Linked DNA regions of Arabidopsis thaliana. The protein of the gene in region 1 interacts with the protein of each later gene in a pairwise test. Each region holds a gene or a part of one and is shown in the gene's direction. Other genes may lie near its edges.

What was found.
Region 2: the proteins of BIR1 (region 1) and AGG2 interact in a two-hybrid assay, tested with the Arabidopsis thaliana proteins (one study listed by BioGRID).
Region 3: the proteins of BIR1 (region 1) and GP ALPHA 1 interact in a two-hybrid assay, tested with the Arabidopsis thaliana proteins (one study listed by BioGRID).

Annotation. Positions count from the first base shown.
Region 1 is NC_003076.8:19,604,929-19,610,270, reverse strand, and holds the start of BIR1 (BAK1-interacting receptor-like kinase 1), read left to right. Parts: upstream 1-3,123; 5' UTR 3,124-3,523; intron 3,524-3,652; 5' UTR 3,653-3,738; coding exon 3,739-4,578; intron 4,579-4,664; coding exon 4,665-5,342. Other genes in the region: AT5G48385 (FRIGIDA-like protein), read right to left, coding at 1-800.
Region 2 is NC_003074.8:8,131,943-8,137,284, forward strand, and holds AGG2 (G-protein gamma subunit 2), read left to right. Parts: upstream 1-2,134; 5' UTR 2,135-2,532; coding exon 2,533-2,652; intron 2,653-3,373; coding exon 3,374-3,426; intron 3,427-3,506; coding exon 3,507-3,551; intron 3,552-3,640; coding exon 3,641-3,725; 3' UTR 3,726-4,262; downstream 4,263-5,342. Other genes in the region: AT3G22940 (F-box associated ubiquitination effector family protein), read left to right, coding at 1-764; ARFC1 (ADP-ribosylation factor C1), read right to left, coding at 4,422-4,781. UniProt on the Arabidopsis thaliana protein: Guanine nucleotide-binding proteins (G proteins) are involved as a modulator or transducer in various transmembrane signaling systems.
Region 3 is NC_003071.7:11,193,673-11,199,014, forward strand, and holds the start of GP ALPHA 1 (G protein alpha subunit 1), read left to right. Parts: upstream 1-3,323; 5' UTR 3,324-3,796; exon of another isoform or gene 3,797-4,148; intron 4,149-4,285; 5' UTR 4,286-4,414; coding exon 4,415-4,474; intron 4,475-4,562; coding exon 4,563-4,635; intron 4,636-4,730; coding exon 4,731-4,768; intron 4,769-4,858; coding exon 4,859-4,948; intron 4,949-5,123; coding exon 5,124-5,201; intron 5,202-5,303; coding exon 5,304-5,342. Other genes in the region: ARSK1 (root-specific kinase 1), read right to left, coding at 177-587. UniProt on the Arabidopsis thaliana protein: Exhibits a fast rate of basal nucleotide exchange. Guanine nucleotide-binding proteins (G proteins) are involved as modulators or transducers in various transmembrane signaling systems.

The DNA of each region.
Region 1 (5,342 bases):
CAGTTGCGGTCCAGACCAGATAACAGTATGCTAAGGCACTCCATCAACATGATACAGGTTCTGCGCATGCCCAAGAGGTTAGCGTCTTTTTTTCCATCAGCAGTTGGTGCCTCCATAGGGTAAAACCCTTCCAAAGAGTCCAACACTAAGCTGGCTGGGTTTGCTGCAGCCCTGAACGCCATAGGAATCTCCTCCTTTAGTGATGCAAGGTTCTTGCGGTTATCTGATACAAACTTATGGAGACCCGTTGAGTCCATATCCCCGCACAGTTTCAGTAACTGTGGATAAGCCTTCACCTCATAATTTCCCATCACAGGTGAGATCTGAACATCTTGCACAATACCATCCGGATTATCATCGGTAATACTATCAGCAGCAAAGACATTGGATGAATCCTCTACAGCATTTTGTGGCCAACGTTCACCAACAGAAGGTTTACTGACAGGAGCGTTGTTATACTTATCCAAAGCACTGTTTATAGTAAACATAGCTGCGTCTCTCTTCTTCTGAAGCCTTTCAAGCGCCGCCTTCTCCTTAGCCTCAACAGCTGCCTTCTTTTTCTCCAACAGTTCTTGAGCTTTCCTTGTTTTGGTTTCATACTCTTTTTCTTGATCTTCAAGCTCATGAAACCTTCTCTTCAAAGACCTCTCAAGCCCATGAAAATGCTCCTCAAGTTCCTTCCACTTCAGATTAAGTGTTACAGCACGCTGACTTTCAAGTTCAGCAAACGCCTTCTGAAGCTGCTGAATCTTGGATGATGTAGAGTCCATGAGTGAAGCAACTGACCGAGTATCCTCCATCACAAAAGAGCCTAAATAAAACGGAAATTTAAGTAATGATTAAAAAGTCCCGAACAAATAAAAACAAACATGAGTACAACGACATTAGAGGCCAGACACAATATTGTTACCAATTCAAACAAGTCCAATCTCCAAGCTGCGAATAGAGAGCTCCACGAAATCTCGATCCTTGAACAACAAACAACTACAAAAAAAAAAATCATCAAGAACAGATAAACAAAGATCAGTCAAAACTATCCAATGACAATATCACTCGTTAAAGATAAAAACAAATTAGCTCTGTAACAAGACCGTACAAGTCATAGTGGACAACTATGTAAGAAAATGGCCTACAAGGCAAGTAAAGACAAATGAACAAGAAACCCCCAAAAAAATGAATCCATTCAAGAAAAATTCACACTATTTTTTAGTCACAAAGATAATTCAACCTCAAGAACTAATCAGACGTACTTATAAAAAAATTAGCTGAAATAATACAAATACAGATTAAGAGAAGAGTAGATGACGAAATGAGAGTAGAAACAAGCAAGCTGATTCAGTGATTCTATGAAATCCCAGCTTAATCCATCACATAAACAAACTTCACGACCAAAATTCAAGGTCATAGCAGAAATTTTGAGCTATATTGTGGAGAAATCAACAAACCCTAGCTACAGTGAAGAGAACACGAACATGAACTCAAAACAAAAAAAAAGTATATACCTCAAGAGAAGATAAAAAAAAAGCAACTTTACCAGGAAAATCAAACGAAGTAAAAACCCGTAAGAAGAAGAGATCAAAAAACTTCAAGAAGGACCACATGATCGTAGATCCATGGTGAAGAGCGATCGAGAGAAATCGAGGTTAGGCAGAGAGAGAGAGAGAGAGAAGAGGAAAGTGAAATCCCTAAAAAGGAAAGAGGAAAGTAGAAGAGAGGCAAAATAAAAGGAAGCAAAGCGATTTATAACAGACACTTTATTAAGCACACCCAATTTTACTTAGTTGGCACGTGAGAGAGACTGGTGTGGTTTAATGGCTCGTTCTTCACTATCATATCTGGTTCGGACCAGACAGCTTATGTGGCTCTAGTCAAACCCTTTAAAGTTTGCGTCACGTGAGTTTGTCTGAAACTGCCGGGAACTTGTAATTTACTCTTTCCTCCTTTTTTTCTATTAATTGGTATATTCACCATCTATGTGTATCAATCACTCTTTAAATTCCTTAACTTTTTTTACCAAACACCCAATCTTTTTAACCTGTTGACGAAGCTTTGGCTTCATGCTTAAGGCTATGTTATAATGGGGAAAAAACTAGATTGCACAATCTTTCATAGACTGATATTCTTCATCGGATGTTTCGATCATATAAATTGTCTCCAAGGATGAAACTATGTGTCTAATTTTTTTGAATGCAAAATTTATATATGATTGTTTTCTTAATAAGAGCAACAATGAAAATATAGTTTGGTTATACATTGGTATTTGTCAAAGAGGAAAGACTAAACCAAGAGTAAATAAATCTTACAACTTCCCAAATTGTTGGAATTCTACAATTGTATTATATATGGTGAATGATTTGGTACAAAACATTACAAATATCAAATGAATTTCGAAGTTGGTTCAGGTCACGAATGGCGGATTTGGCTTGGGAGAGACTAGAGGTTGTGATTCGTGGTTTATCTCCTCTCTAAAATCGTTATGTTACAAACTGACTATCAAGGATAATCATATCAATCAAGATAATGAAGAGAATCAATATCGTCAATCACGTTAATTGCTCATAATCATTGTATACAATATTAAGTTTCCTTCAGTAGCTTTCTAGTCTTTGTATATAAACACTCTGTAATCATCTTGTTTCATATATTCGATATACTCTTAGTCTACATGGTATTAGAGTCTCTGTATATAAACACTCTGTAAAATTTCTAAAATCGTTATGTTACAAACTGACAATACATAAACAACACGAATTAACATTTTGGGGTGTTTGCTGAACCGTGGTTGGCGGGTACATCTGCTAAATGAACAAGCTTTTTATATATATATATATATATATAACTGTCAACCCATAATTTAAAGATTCCAACAACAACAAAATAAGTACTACTCCTAATAAGTATTTAAATATGTGACATGATATTCAATTTTTGTGATACAAATTATTATGCATTGGTATTTGTCAAAAACTAATACCAAGAAAACATTTCTTGTAAATGTCATATTCCATTCTTTGATTTGGTCAAAACACCAAAACCATTTACAAAATATCCAGAATTATCTAAAAACGAATGAAAAGCGAAAAATACCAAATGGAAGAAAAATTTGTCCATCTCCTAACAAACAAGATAATATATATGATGATGTTGAAAAGTCAAAAAGAGAAGAAAGAAAAAAAAAACATTTAACGCGCAAAGACCGATTTGGTTTTTGTTGGGAGTCATTGCGTTCTCATCATCAGTGTCTCTCTTTTCTTTGCCCCATTCTTCACGAACTTTCACTAGACGACGACGACGATCCAAAGTCCCAGTCAACTCACTCACAAAGACGACTCCTTTATTAAATTATTCCCAACTCCTTTCTTCATCATCATCATCATCATCATTCATAACCACTTAGCCACAGATGCGATTTTCTTCTCCTTCTTCATTGTGCTCTTCAACACTTATGAACAAGAGCACCACCACCACGACAACGACGACTACAAAGACCAAAGCTTTCGTTTTGTGTTTCTGATTTTGATTCGTAAGTTGTTGTAAATTTTTCTAAGTCAACTTCAATTTTAAAGATCGCTTTAGTCTTTTTGATTCGCTGGCGATAATCCAATTTTCGTTGTTGCTAATAAAGTTTTGATTTTTTTTTATTTGCTTACAGGATTTTGATGCTCATCGAAGAGAACCCTTGATTTTGTTGCTGTAGTTCATAGAGATTTTACACATTTTGTGGAATTTAGTGGATTTATGATGATGGGTAGGTTAGTTTTTGTAATCTGGCTCTATAATTGTCTCTGTTTGCTGCTACTCTCGAGCTTGGTTGACGCGGATCAGGCCAACATAGATTGCTTAAGGACCTTTAAATCTCAAGTAGAGGATCCAAATAGATATTTATCGACTTGGGTTTTTGGCAACGAGACTGCTGGTTATATCTGCAAGTTCAGTGGTGTGACTTGTTGGCATGATGATGAGAATAGGGTTTTGAGTATTAAGCTATCTGGTTATGGTCTTAGAGGAGTGTTTCCTCCTGCGGTTAAGCTATGTGCTGATCTCACTGGTTTAGATCTTTCTAGAAACAACTTCTCTGGACCTTTACCAGCCAACATTAGCACCTTGATTCCACTTGTTACGATTCTAGACCTCTCCTACAATAGCTTCTCTGGTGAAATCCCTATGTTGATCTCCAACATTACCTTTTTGAACACTCTTATGCTTCAGCATAACCAGTTCACGGGTACTCTTCCTCCCCAGCTAGCGCAACTTGGACGGCTCAAAACATTCTCTGTGTCTGACAATCGTCTCGTTGGTCCTATCCCAAATTTCAACCAAACCTTGCAGTTTAAGCAGGAATTGTTTGCTAATAACCTGGATCTGTGTGGTAAGCCTCTAGATGACTGTAAGAGTGCTTCTAGCTCTCGTGGTAAAGTTGTTATTATAGCGGCAGTTGGTGGACTGACTGCAGCAGCATTAGTCGTTGGGGTTGTTTTGTTCTTCTATTTCCGTAAATTGGGTGCTGTTCGGAAGAAGCAGGATGATCCTGAAGGAAACAGATGGGCAAAGAGCTTGAAAGGACAGAAAGGTGTTAAGGTAAAAACATCATTGATTTGAATTTTGCTGTATGTGGTTATGTTCTAAATTTATGATATATGTTTGGTGCTTTTGTGAATGTTCAGGTTTTCATGTTTAAGAAATCGGTTTCAAAGATGAAATTAAGCGATCTTATGAAGGCAACAGAGGAATTCAAGAAAGATAATATCATTGCAACAGGAAGAACAGGAACTATGTACAAAGGTAGGCTTGAAGACGGGTCTCTACTTATGATAAAGAGGTTGCAGGATTCTCAACGCTCTGAGAAAGAGTTTGATGCAGAGATGAAGACTTTGGGCTCTGTTAAAAACAGAAACTTAGTCCCTCTCTTGGGCTATTGTGTTGCCAATAAGGAGAGGCTTCTAATGTATGAGTACATGGCAAACGGTTACCTTTATGATCAGTTACATCCTGCAGATGAAGAATCCTTCAAGCCCTTGGATTGGCCTTCAAGGCTGAAAATCGCGATTGGGACGGCAAAAGGATTGGCATGGCTTCATCATAGCTGCAACCCGAGAATCATCCATCGCAACATAAGCTCGAAATGCATATTGTTGACTGCAGAGTTTGAGCCAAAGATCTCGGATTTCGGTCTAGCTAGGCTGATGAACCCAATTGATACCCATTTAAGCACATTCGTCAATGGAGAATTTGGGGATTTCGGTTATGTTGCTCCCGAGTATTCAAGAACCATGGTTGCAACTCCAAAAGGAGATGTCTACAGCTTCGGTGTTGTGCTTCTAGAGCTAGTAACGGGCCAAAAA
Region 2 (5,342 bases), on another chromosome or scaffold:
ATGAATTCCATTACCCTCGAGACAACGTTGTTTTGTGGTATGAAATCTATGATTTTGAGTCTGATTTATGGACGACTCTTGATGTTACTACTCCACATTGGTTGATAAATTGTGGTAACCGTGGTGTTACTCTCAAGGGAAACACTTACTGGTGTGCTAAAAAAAGGAACTCTGACCTTTTTCTCAATGCTGATCATATAATCTGTTTTGATTTCACAAGTGAGAGGTTTGGTCCGCTTCTGCTTTTGCCGTTTAGTGATTTGGATGGTGTTGTTACTCTAGCTTGTGTTAGAGAGGAGAAGCTTGCGGCTTTAGTTTGTCACGAGGATGTTGTTGAGGTTTGGATTACGATTAAGATTGAGGCCAATGAGGTATTGTGGAGCAAGTTCTTGACAGTGAATGTTGATTTGGGTGATGAGATTCCGAGTTCACTGACATATGGTAGTTTTTTCATCGACGAGGAGAAGAAAGTTGCTATGATTTTTGATAAAACTTTGGATCGCGGCGACACAGTTCACATCATGGGAGAGGCTGGATATGGTGGACAAGTTGATCTCGGAGAACCGGTTAATAAAAGACGTTGCCCACTTGTGTGCTCTTATGTTCCGAGTTTAGTGCAAATCAAGAAACCTGCAGGATTCCAAAGGAAACAGCAAAGCAAGTTAGAAAAGCGTCAATATGTTCGAAACATATCGAAACTTCGCGCACTTAAAACCCAAAGTTCTTGGACATTAAGTATGTCACTTGAATGTCATCAACAGTAAGATTTATGTTTCTTGGCTCGTACTTCGATTTATTACTGCTATGTTTTAGACTGATACTTTACTAAATATTACATGGCTTCATCAGGAGCTTGGTAGAGTGAGAAAGCATTGCCAGCCGATTTTTGCCCGTATAGCTCCGTCTCAGTTTGTTTCGGGCCATTGTTGAAAGGACTTCCTGTGCGCTTTTTTGTCGATCAATAGTTTAGACCGCTCTTTTTTGTTGCCACTTTCTTGCTTAGGGGAGTCTTTAGATCGAGTTTTCTTCATCTTCTTACTAAGAGCCTCATCGCTTAAGGTTTAGTTGATGCGATGAATCTCGAAAGGATTATGCTTCCATGTTTTTTTCCTTTTTTTGGCATGGGACCATGTTTGTAGGTTTTGCTTCTTGTAACTCCTAAACTTTCATTTTATATGATATTTACATTCTTATCAAAAAAAAAAATATATATATTACATGGCTTCATGCTAAAGGACATGATATTAATCAGATTTTTAAAATTTAAAGATGGTGGAACCTCAGGTTTTCGATAATATAATTTAGAGATAGCTTCTGTTATCTGGCCTAGTCTCTACAAAGTTTTTAAAACCGAACCAGCGACTCGACTAGATGGCATTGTCGATATATCTATCTAGCAGAATTTCAGTAGCAGAGTCTTTTTAGTGAGAGGGTCAGGTGCATTATCAGTCCTTGGAAACATCAAAGACAAGAGCAAGTTGTTCATGCTCAAACTAAAAGATTACCATCCACCATTTTGGGATATATATTCAACTTCTTACTCTTTGACATCTTGGAAGTCTTCCACATCCTCTTCTTCTTAGGTCGTTATCTTCATAAACATCTTCTTCAGTCAAATCTGCCTCACCTTCTGAGTAGCAAATATTTTAAACCAGACCATTTGTACTTCTGACTATTCTTCTGTCCGATATGTATCTCTTTAGAAGATCTTGGTGCATAATGGCCTAATGGGGATCATCATTAATTAGGAAATAAAAATCAATTCTTATATGTGCTGAGAAAAAAAAAAAAAAGCTTTGAAGTTAAAACTAGAAATAATAAAACATATTGGATTAAAGATAATTAATGTGGATCCATGGAATGATCGATCATGACGAGAAATAAAATATTATGGGGAATATATAAAGAAAGAAAAATGTGCAAGATGATTAGTATGAAAATAACATTCCCTTAGTTTCACAATATAAGTGTTTTGGAGAAATTTTTGTTTCGAATGTTTTCAAAATTTTATGCAAATTATAGATTTTTTTATTTTTATAATTATATATATATATTATATGGTCTATTTTATGATTGGTTAACTTTTTAAAAAAATAAACATGAGTTATTGAGGTTTCAAGAAGAAAGTTTTATGTTTATGGCCATCAAGACTGAAATAATGTTTTGTTTTTCTTATTTCCGTCGACTTTCGTCTTTTTCAAAATCGCAACTTTTATATATATTTTTTTCTCTCGCCTTTCGATCATCGGAAAAGCTCTTTTTCAAGTCTCCCCAACTCATAACTTTGAATTTTCTATTTGCCCCCTCATAAAATTTGCTTCTATTCTCTTTGTTTGTTGGAGTTCTCAAGATCTGTTTGATTCTGAATCCTTGTAATTTTTGTATCCAACCAGTAACAAATGGGGTTTTGTGAAGGTTTATGAGTTTCCCATATTCAAATGGCGATCTTTTAGTCTGAGTAAAATTGTGGTTCTTATCTGTTTTTGTTAAAGTTTCGATTTTTATTTTGAGGGTTGAATTCGAGAAATTTTGATGGAAGCGGGTAGCTCCAATTCGTCGGGTCAGCTATCCGGGCGGGTCGTTGATACAAGAGGCAAACACAGGATTCAAGCTGAACTCAAAAGGCTTGAACAAGAAGCTCGATTCTTAGAGGTATTTTACTCTCCTCTTAATCTTAAACCCTTTCTTGTTTCGACGTGCTTGGGCCTTTTGGCTGATTATATCATATAATTACAGATTGGATCAATCTGTTGTTTTTGTGCTTCGGCTCTTTTTGGATGGAATAGTATAAATCTGAGTGGAGTACGGTAGAGACTTTCAAAGTTTGAAACTTTTTTAGTTTTGGGAATCAATTTGATTTAGGGGTTTTTGTTGTTGTTGGTATTCAATGAGTGAAAAAAAAAAAACAGGTTTTGTTGTAGCAGTTGGTATTGTGGGGTTGCTTTTAGTGAGTTAATAGTACTTGTCTCTTGATATAGTTCCTTTTTATATGCTTAACAAGATTGGATCTTAGATTAATGGAATCGATCTGACTTTAAGAAATGTAGTGTAGAACTGTCTCCTTTTAAAGAGATTTTTGTGATGCTAAATGTTACTTGAGTGAGAGAGTAGATCCTTTGCGAACAATATGCTTCTGTTGATAAAACAAATCACCAGGGTCAGTAATTAGGAAGGTTCAAGAATGGTGAGGAGTGAAACTGAAATGTAGTTTAAGCTCTTGAGCATATTTCATTCAGGTGTAATAATATCTTGACTCTTGATCCCTTGAGGTTTAAGCTCTTGTCTACGTAGCTGTTATGACATTTGTGAACTCAAATGCTTGCTTAAAAGCGTTACAAGGTTTTAACTTTCTTCCTTCATTTATTATATTCAGGAAGAGCTGGAGCAGCTTGAGAAGATGGACAATGCATCAGCATCCTGCAAAGAGTAAGAACTTGTTACATAACTGATATCCGGTTCACGAATAATCATTCCACAAGCTTGACTAGTTTCTCGAATGGATGCAGGTTCTTAGACAGTGTTGACAGCAAACCCGATCCTCTTCTTCCCGAGTAATTCTTCTTCTGTTTTCTGATAGTTTCATTTCAATAGACTGTGAGATGATTAGGTCTGATATGTTTGCTTTTGTGACTACTTGCAGAACAACAGGTCCGGTGAATGCGACATGGGATCAATGGTTCGAAGGCCCTAAAGAAGCAAAACGATGTGGCTGCTCCATTCTTTGATCTTCCTTTCCTTCTCTCAAAATATTTTTGTCTCTACTTCTTCCAGAAGAGTGAGTTTGTGTTTTTACGTTCCCGCGGCAGTGAATTTGATGTAATTGGCAAAAAAAAAAATTGATTCATTTGTGCAGTAAAAAATCTATTGATCTTGATGTGTCTCTTAATTTAAGAAGACCACAGTGCCAAATTCACGCCACCACAAGAAAATCTAGCACAGTGGCCGTCGGTGATCCCCACACCAATGCATCTCAGTTCCAGATTGTCTTGGAAAAGTTCTCGTTTCTCGATGGTTTACATGTCGTGTTCGGGCAAGTTGTTGAAGGACTCGACGTGCTCAGGAGCATTGAAGACGAGGTTGGAACTTTGAACAGGATTCCTTCCAAGCCGGTGGTTATCGCAGACTGTGGTGAGCTCTGAGAGAGGCTACAATGGTGTCTTGTCTTGTTTTAATGGTTGCTCTGTTTTTGTTTTTAGTTCGTTTGGATTTTGAGTTTGGTGGTAGTTTTAAATCTGAAACAAAACAAGATTTTTTTCTTCCATATATGAAAATTCTGGACACAGTTTCAATGAGAGCAACCAAAATAGTTGAAGCTTGTTACATAAAAGTCAAGAGGATACAATGTTAAAGAACATATGAAGGAGACAAAAGAAACAAAGAAGAATAGTACGTACTCTCTCTGATTCAGTTCTGGTTTCCCCTTAACTCGTGGCTTTACCGGTAACTTTTTGGGCAATCCAACCGAGCCCATCATACAATCCTTCTCCAGTAACCGCACAACTTGCTTGAATATGCCAATCATGGTTCTTGATACTGTGAAGGTTAAGTGCATCCGTGATCTCAGCAGGAGTCATTGCGTCTTTCAGATCCTGTTTGTTTGCAAAAACTAGTATGACCGAGTTTTGAAGATCCTCATGACCAAGTAACCTGGCTAGCTCATCTTTCATGAAAGAGATTCTGGCTCTGTCTGTGCTATCTATAACCACAATCACAGCATGTGTTCCACGATAGTATGTTGCCCATGAAGTTCTTAGCCTATCTTGCCCACCAAGATCCCATACCTAAAGACAACATATCATAAAAGTAAACATCGCCTCAAATATTCGATTGCCAGTGTCCAACAGTTAGTTTTTGACAGGAAACAATTCAAACTTTAGTAAGTTTAGTTACGTTTATATTCATCATTGAGTTTTGACATATAAGAACACATGCAGATTGTCATAAAACAGAGATGAATTCATCTCAGGCCATGACTTTGACCACTGTATAAAGATGTTCCAAACAGTCCTCTGGCAAAAAAACTAAGCTAATGGGAAATAGCAAACAGTTCCTCCGGTATAACAAACAAGCTAGATAAACAACATCTACAAAAATTTACTATACAAAACCATAAATCGCACATACGAAAACGTTCATTATGAGTTTCTGACACCTTCTCAACCAATCATGACAAGAACTTAGACAAAAACATCATCCATTTTTCAACGAGAAAAATGCACACACCCAAGCAAGAAACATAGCTAGGGACAATAACACAATCAAAAGATGGCAATGGCAAATTTAAGAAACATCCATAAAGTTTCAAACTTCTAAAACACGTCCCTAGATAAGAAGCTAAGAAA
Region 3 (5,342 bases), on another chromosome or scaffold:
ATATATTTAATAACATACTGAAAAATGGCCAGATTCATATAGCTAATTAAGAAGATAAACCAAAATTCAAAAAATATATAAAATAATCGAGACGGTCTTCGTAATTAAATTGTTCCTTGTGAATAGAAAAGTCTTGAATGTAGACAAAAACATACATAAAGAGAAAGAAATGTTACCAGCCATTCTCTATGGCCTTGATGGCCATGAAGATCAAGAGCCTTTACAGCAACCGGTTGGGCTTCGATACCCGGTTTAACCTTATCATCAATAAACCCTTTGTAAACCGGCCCAAACCCTCCTTCCCCCAACATGTTACTTCTAGAGAAATTATGCGTAATCACTCTCAGCTCAGACAACGTGAACAAACGAAGCTTCTGCGATGTGAAGGAGTGAGAGAGATCATCCATAACCGACATGGGCGAGCTTGGATCGCTTATGTCCGATAAAGACAGCCTCTTGAACGCTGGACAAGTTCTTATTTTCATTACAGCCTTCTCCCCTCCTTCGTATTTGCTTGCGTTCTTTGCCTTGTAACACCCCAAGAACAGAGATGTCAATGATGTTTTCTTCTTCTTGAACACTGCCATTTTCAACTTCTTCTTTTGTGTTATTTGGGGAAAAAATGGAGAAAGTTAGTCTTTTACTCCTTTTGATGAATCTTTTGTAGAGTGCGTAGGTTTAGAAATTAAGGATGTTCTAGTTAACCTACTTGTCTTCAAAGTCCTCTAATTTATAGTAGTTGTTGTGTCTTATTCGTACTGACCGACCTTTGAGTTTTCAAATTTATTTATATATACAAAAAGTTTGCTTTTTTTTTTTTGTATTAGTTGTATAAAAATGTTGAAGTTATTTTTGGTGGATATATTTATATTGTTCTAAGCTCTATGCTGATATTTTTTTCAGGAGAAACACGATTCCATGTTCACATTAATCCTCACAATAATATTGAAAAATAACGCAAGTTGTTTTCTTTTTCTAATCACAATATAATCAATATTATTGATTATAAATTCATTCAGTTGTTTGTACTTAGACTTCATCTCACCAAAGTCTACGGGCTATATAATTTTGCTTATATATTCAATGAATTGAAAATTGTCTCTCGCTCTACATTCCAAATACGATCTCTCGTTTCATTATAGACTTAGTTCTGTCTAATAGTTTTTGTTGTAATAATTTAGGTAATTTAAAAATGATTTTGTGAATTTAATGGTGTCTCTCTATATTCCACTATCTCGATTTCTAGTTTCATAAGACTAATTAGTTATTTACTAATAGTTTTTGTTCTAATAATTTAGGCAATTAATTTAAAAATGATTTGGTATACATTTCAGGCTGGCAAATAAATATTACGTATAAAGAAGATTTGATTCGCCTTGTTGAAAGGAGAATGAGATGATTAGGCCATAATTGGATGTCCGTTGACTTTGTTTCTTCCATGATTAAAATTTAAGAAGTAAGGAAGAGAAACAAATTTGAACCATTGATTTTGTTACTCTTAACTAAATAATCATTTATTCAATAACTAAAGGTCGGTTGGTCTTCAGGTACGAACGTTCTTCTATACTAACTTGTAAATTGTAAACGTAACAGATTGTGCAGTAGAGATTGCGGTTACAAATGTTTGACAACGATCACAAAAATTGTTTAACACCGCGTATTCTTCCGCCAACGTTTGCGGCAGCGGGTGGTTAAAAATTACACTATTTTTAAGTTTTAAATTCAAATAAATTTAATAACTTTTTTGACTCTTGGAGTCATGCTCTGAACACAAATGATTCATTTTCCGGAGAACATAAGTGCATTGTATCCGTCTAATCGTCCCAACATACTTCACTATAAATGTAATTTAATACTAACAATTAAATTGAAGTGTTGTTCGTCGCATGCATGTATGTACGTACAATAATTATATAGTTTCATTATCATAGAACTGTCGGGGAAATTGTGAATCATCACCAGCCGCCACATGAACTTATTTGCCGTTGTTCTGGTTTAAGGCTGGTAAGATTTATTCGGCGGCTGTAGGCCTGTAGCCCTTGAAATATGGTAGACAAGATCGTCCATATAATTAAGATTTTGTTTTTCACTTCTAAATTAATTAATGGGTGACTTGGGCGATTTTGTATTGTTGTTTAGTGGCTAGAAAGAAAACTTTTAACGATAAATTTACTTATGCAAAAATTATATTAGTTTAGTTTAGCAACTTTATATGTACTTAATTAGTAAAATAATACATTTAAATGTAAACTATTTGTACATATTAATGTTGTCCAAACAATATGCACTTTTTGAATTTTTTTACTGTATTCTCCACCTAGTTTTTCTAATTCATCCAAGCATTTTGATGAATTTGCATGTCTCCATAGATGAATTAGTATCTACTATCTCTAAAAACTCAATCTCCACCGAAGATATTGCTTAACCAATGTGCTCCTAGACCAAATCCAAAACCTTAGCCGCTTCATACTTAACATCCACTTTTGTAGCATCCTCAAACTGTTTTACAACCTTTTCAACCGGGACACAATCGCCTTGTCTTAGTAGTGAAGCGTAGGTTAATCATGGATGATGATTTTTGTTCTTTGACAACATCTGGTAAGGTTTTTGGTTTATGGCTCACCCTTTTTACTTTTTCGGTCTTTCTTATATAGTGTTTTGGTGGGTTTTTTCTCGTTCATTTTTCACGACCTTCTTATCCTATTACTAGGGTCATTAAATTGTTCGTTAGGTTAAAGAGATTTACAATATGAAACCGATTATGTCCATTAAAACGTGAATAAGACAGAAAAGAGCACCAAGAAAATGAAAAATAATTTAATGTATGTTCAGGAAATCCTATGAAAACATAATGATTGATCGGGTTTATTGGTTTTGTAGCTGGTGGTTTAAGTGGTTAGGGAAGCTATGTATTTATAATTTATTGATTCAATATGGTTTTGCATCTGAAATATATTTAAGCCCAACCAATAAATATACCATCACTCGCCAAGACCGTTTCTCAGTGGAAACATTTTGTGAGAAGTTCAAGTCGATGTTAATGATTGTAAGGATTTAACGGATGTGATGTTTTTGTAGGTTGAAGATTTAAAGTACTATATGATATGTTGTGTTTTTATCGATTTTGAATCTTTATTTTCTTTCCTAAATCAAAACTGCAATATATTTCCTAAGCTAGCAAAACCCATTCTAGATATAAGTAGAGTCCAGCTTGTAATGCAACTGCAAAGCAAAAATCAAGATATTTCGATACAAGGACTTGATGTCATAAAATTCCAAATTTGTTTTGTCTTGCCACACTTAGTAATTCTCTTCCAATAATGGTTAACTTAATAGTATATAAAATAAAAATGCATATAGGTTCCGTAATTAATCTTCTTTATCGTCACGAGAGGCACATCTTTTTTCAACATTTGACCACTCTCTCTCTCTCTCTCTCAGGACCTTTCGGCGTAATTTCGTCTTCCCCTTTGCTTAACATTTTCTTTCTTTCTTTTTGACCAAATATTAAAAATATATCCATTTTTATTTTATTTTTAATTAAATTCATAATTTGCATTTTATGTATTTATAATAAAAAGGAGAGAATAAATCCAAAAGAGTGAAGCAAAAACATTAAAGCGGAAAGAAAGTGGTAAAACAATAATAGAAACAGGAGAAGCAGAAGTACTACTTCTTCTTCTTCTGCTCTCTTCTCAGACCTTGTTTTGTACTTTCTTCTTCTTCTTCTTCTTCTTGTTTGCGAACTCCGATATCTTCTTCACTACCTTTGACTCCATTTCTTTTTCTTCTTCAGGTGAATTCTACTTTACTTTTCTTCTTACCCCAAATTTACTCTTTTGGGTTTTATGAAAGTTTTGTTTTTTATTACTCAGATCTTGTCCTAGTTCTCCTCCTTGTTCTGTTGTTTTTCTGTTTCGTTTCGAATTGGTTTTGTTTTTCAAGTTTAGGGTTTTGTAGATCAGTTCGTCGTTACTGTAGATTGGAAATGAAAATTATGATTCTTTGGATCTGATTATAGCAGTTCAAGTGTGAACTCTATCTATTACTTGATTTGCTATCTCACAGTTTTTGAATTTCTTAATGGTGTTAGCTACTCGACTTTTAGAGCTCATTTTCTTAACTACTGAACTTGTTTCATTTGAGAGGTACTAATCCAGTATATATTATAAAGTTTAATGCTTTTTCTTACTTGCATTCTTTGAACATGTTTGCTATTTTGGTGAGTGAAACTTTATGTATATTTATGAATTTTGAGCTAAAGTATTGATTGTTTCATAAGTAGGTGTAGGCATTGTCTTGTTATGAGAAGCAACTGTAGCTGGAAGCTCAAGTATTTGTTTTTAGCTGTGGAGCTTGAATCTTGATAGTTTTCGACTTCTATGTTATTACCTGTGGGGATATAGAAACAATCATGGGCTTACTCTGCAGTAGAAGTCGACATCATACTGAAGATACTGATGAGAATACACAGGTTGACTTAAGAGCTCTTGTAACACTCGATGTATGGGAGCATTATTTCTGATACTTCAAGAGTTAACTTGGTTTGTATTAATCTACAGGCTGCTGAAATCGAAAGACGGATAGAGCAAGAAGCAAAGGCTGAAAAGCATATTCGGAAGCTTTTGCTACTTGGTATGTAGACCTTGGATTAGAAATGTGAATGGCATGCCTTGATGAATCTTTTGGTAATAGTTTTCCTCTAATTTTCTGACTTGTGTTTTGTAAAGGTGCTGGGGAATCTGGAAAATCTACAATTTTTAAGCAGGCAAGTCCACAAGGAAAATTGATTGTACTCTTTACTTAAATTTACTTATGAATCCTGCTAATTGAATGATACAAATTTACTAATTTGCAGATAAAACTTCTATTCCAAACGGGATTTGATGAAGGAGAACTAAAGAGCTATGTTCCAGTCATTCATGCCAATGTCTATCAGACTATAAAAGTATGCAATACTTGAAATGACTGTGTCGGTTTTATCCTTCTAATTGGCGGTGTTTTCGAGTTCTTTTGGATTTACAATCTAGAGAATCATTTATATGAGTAATCAAATTTTTTTCATATGTTGATCTTGGTATATTGTACATGTAGCTTAATAGCTACTCTATATTGTTGAACAGTTATTGCATGATGGAACAAAGGAGTTTGCTCAAAATGAAACAGATTCTGCTAAATATATGTTATCTTCTGAAAGTATTGTAAGTGGTTAGATTCATAGGTCACTTGAGCTGTCTTTGTTAGAGTTTTGAGTCTTGTGAGTACCTTGTCTTATGGTAGTCAACTTATTATCGTAATATCAGGCAATTGGGGAGAAACTATCTGAGATTGGTGGTAGGTTA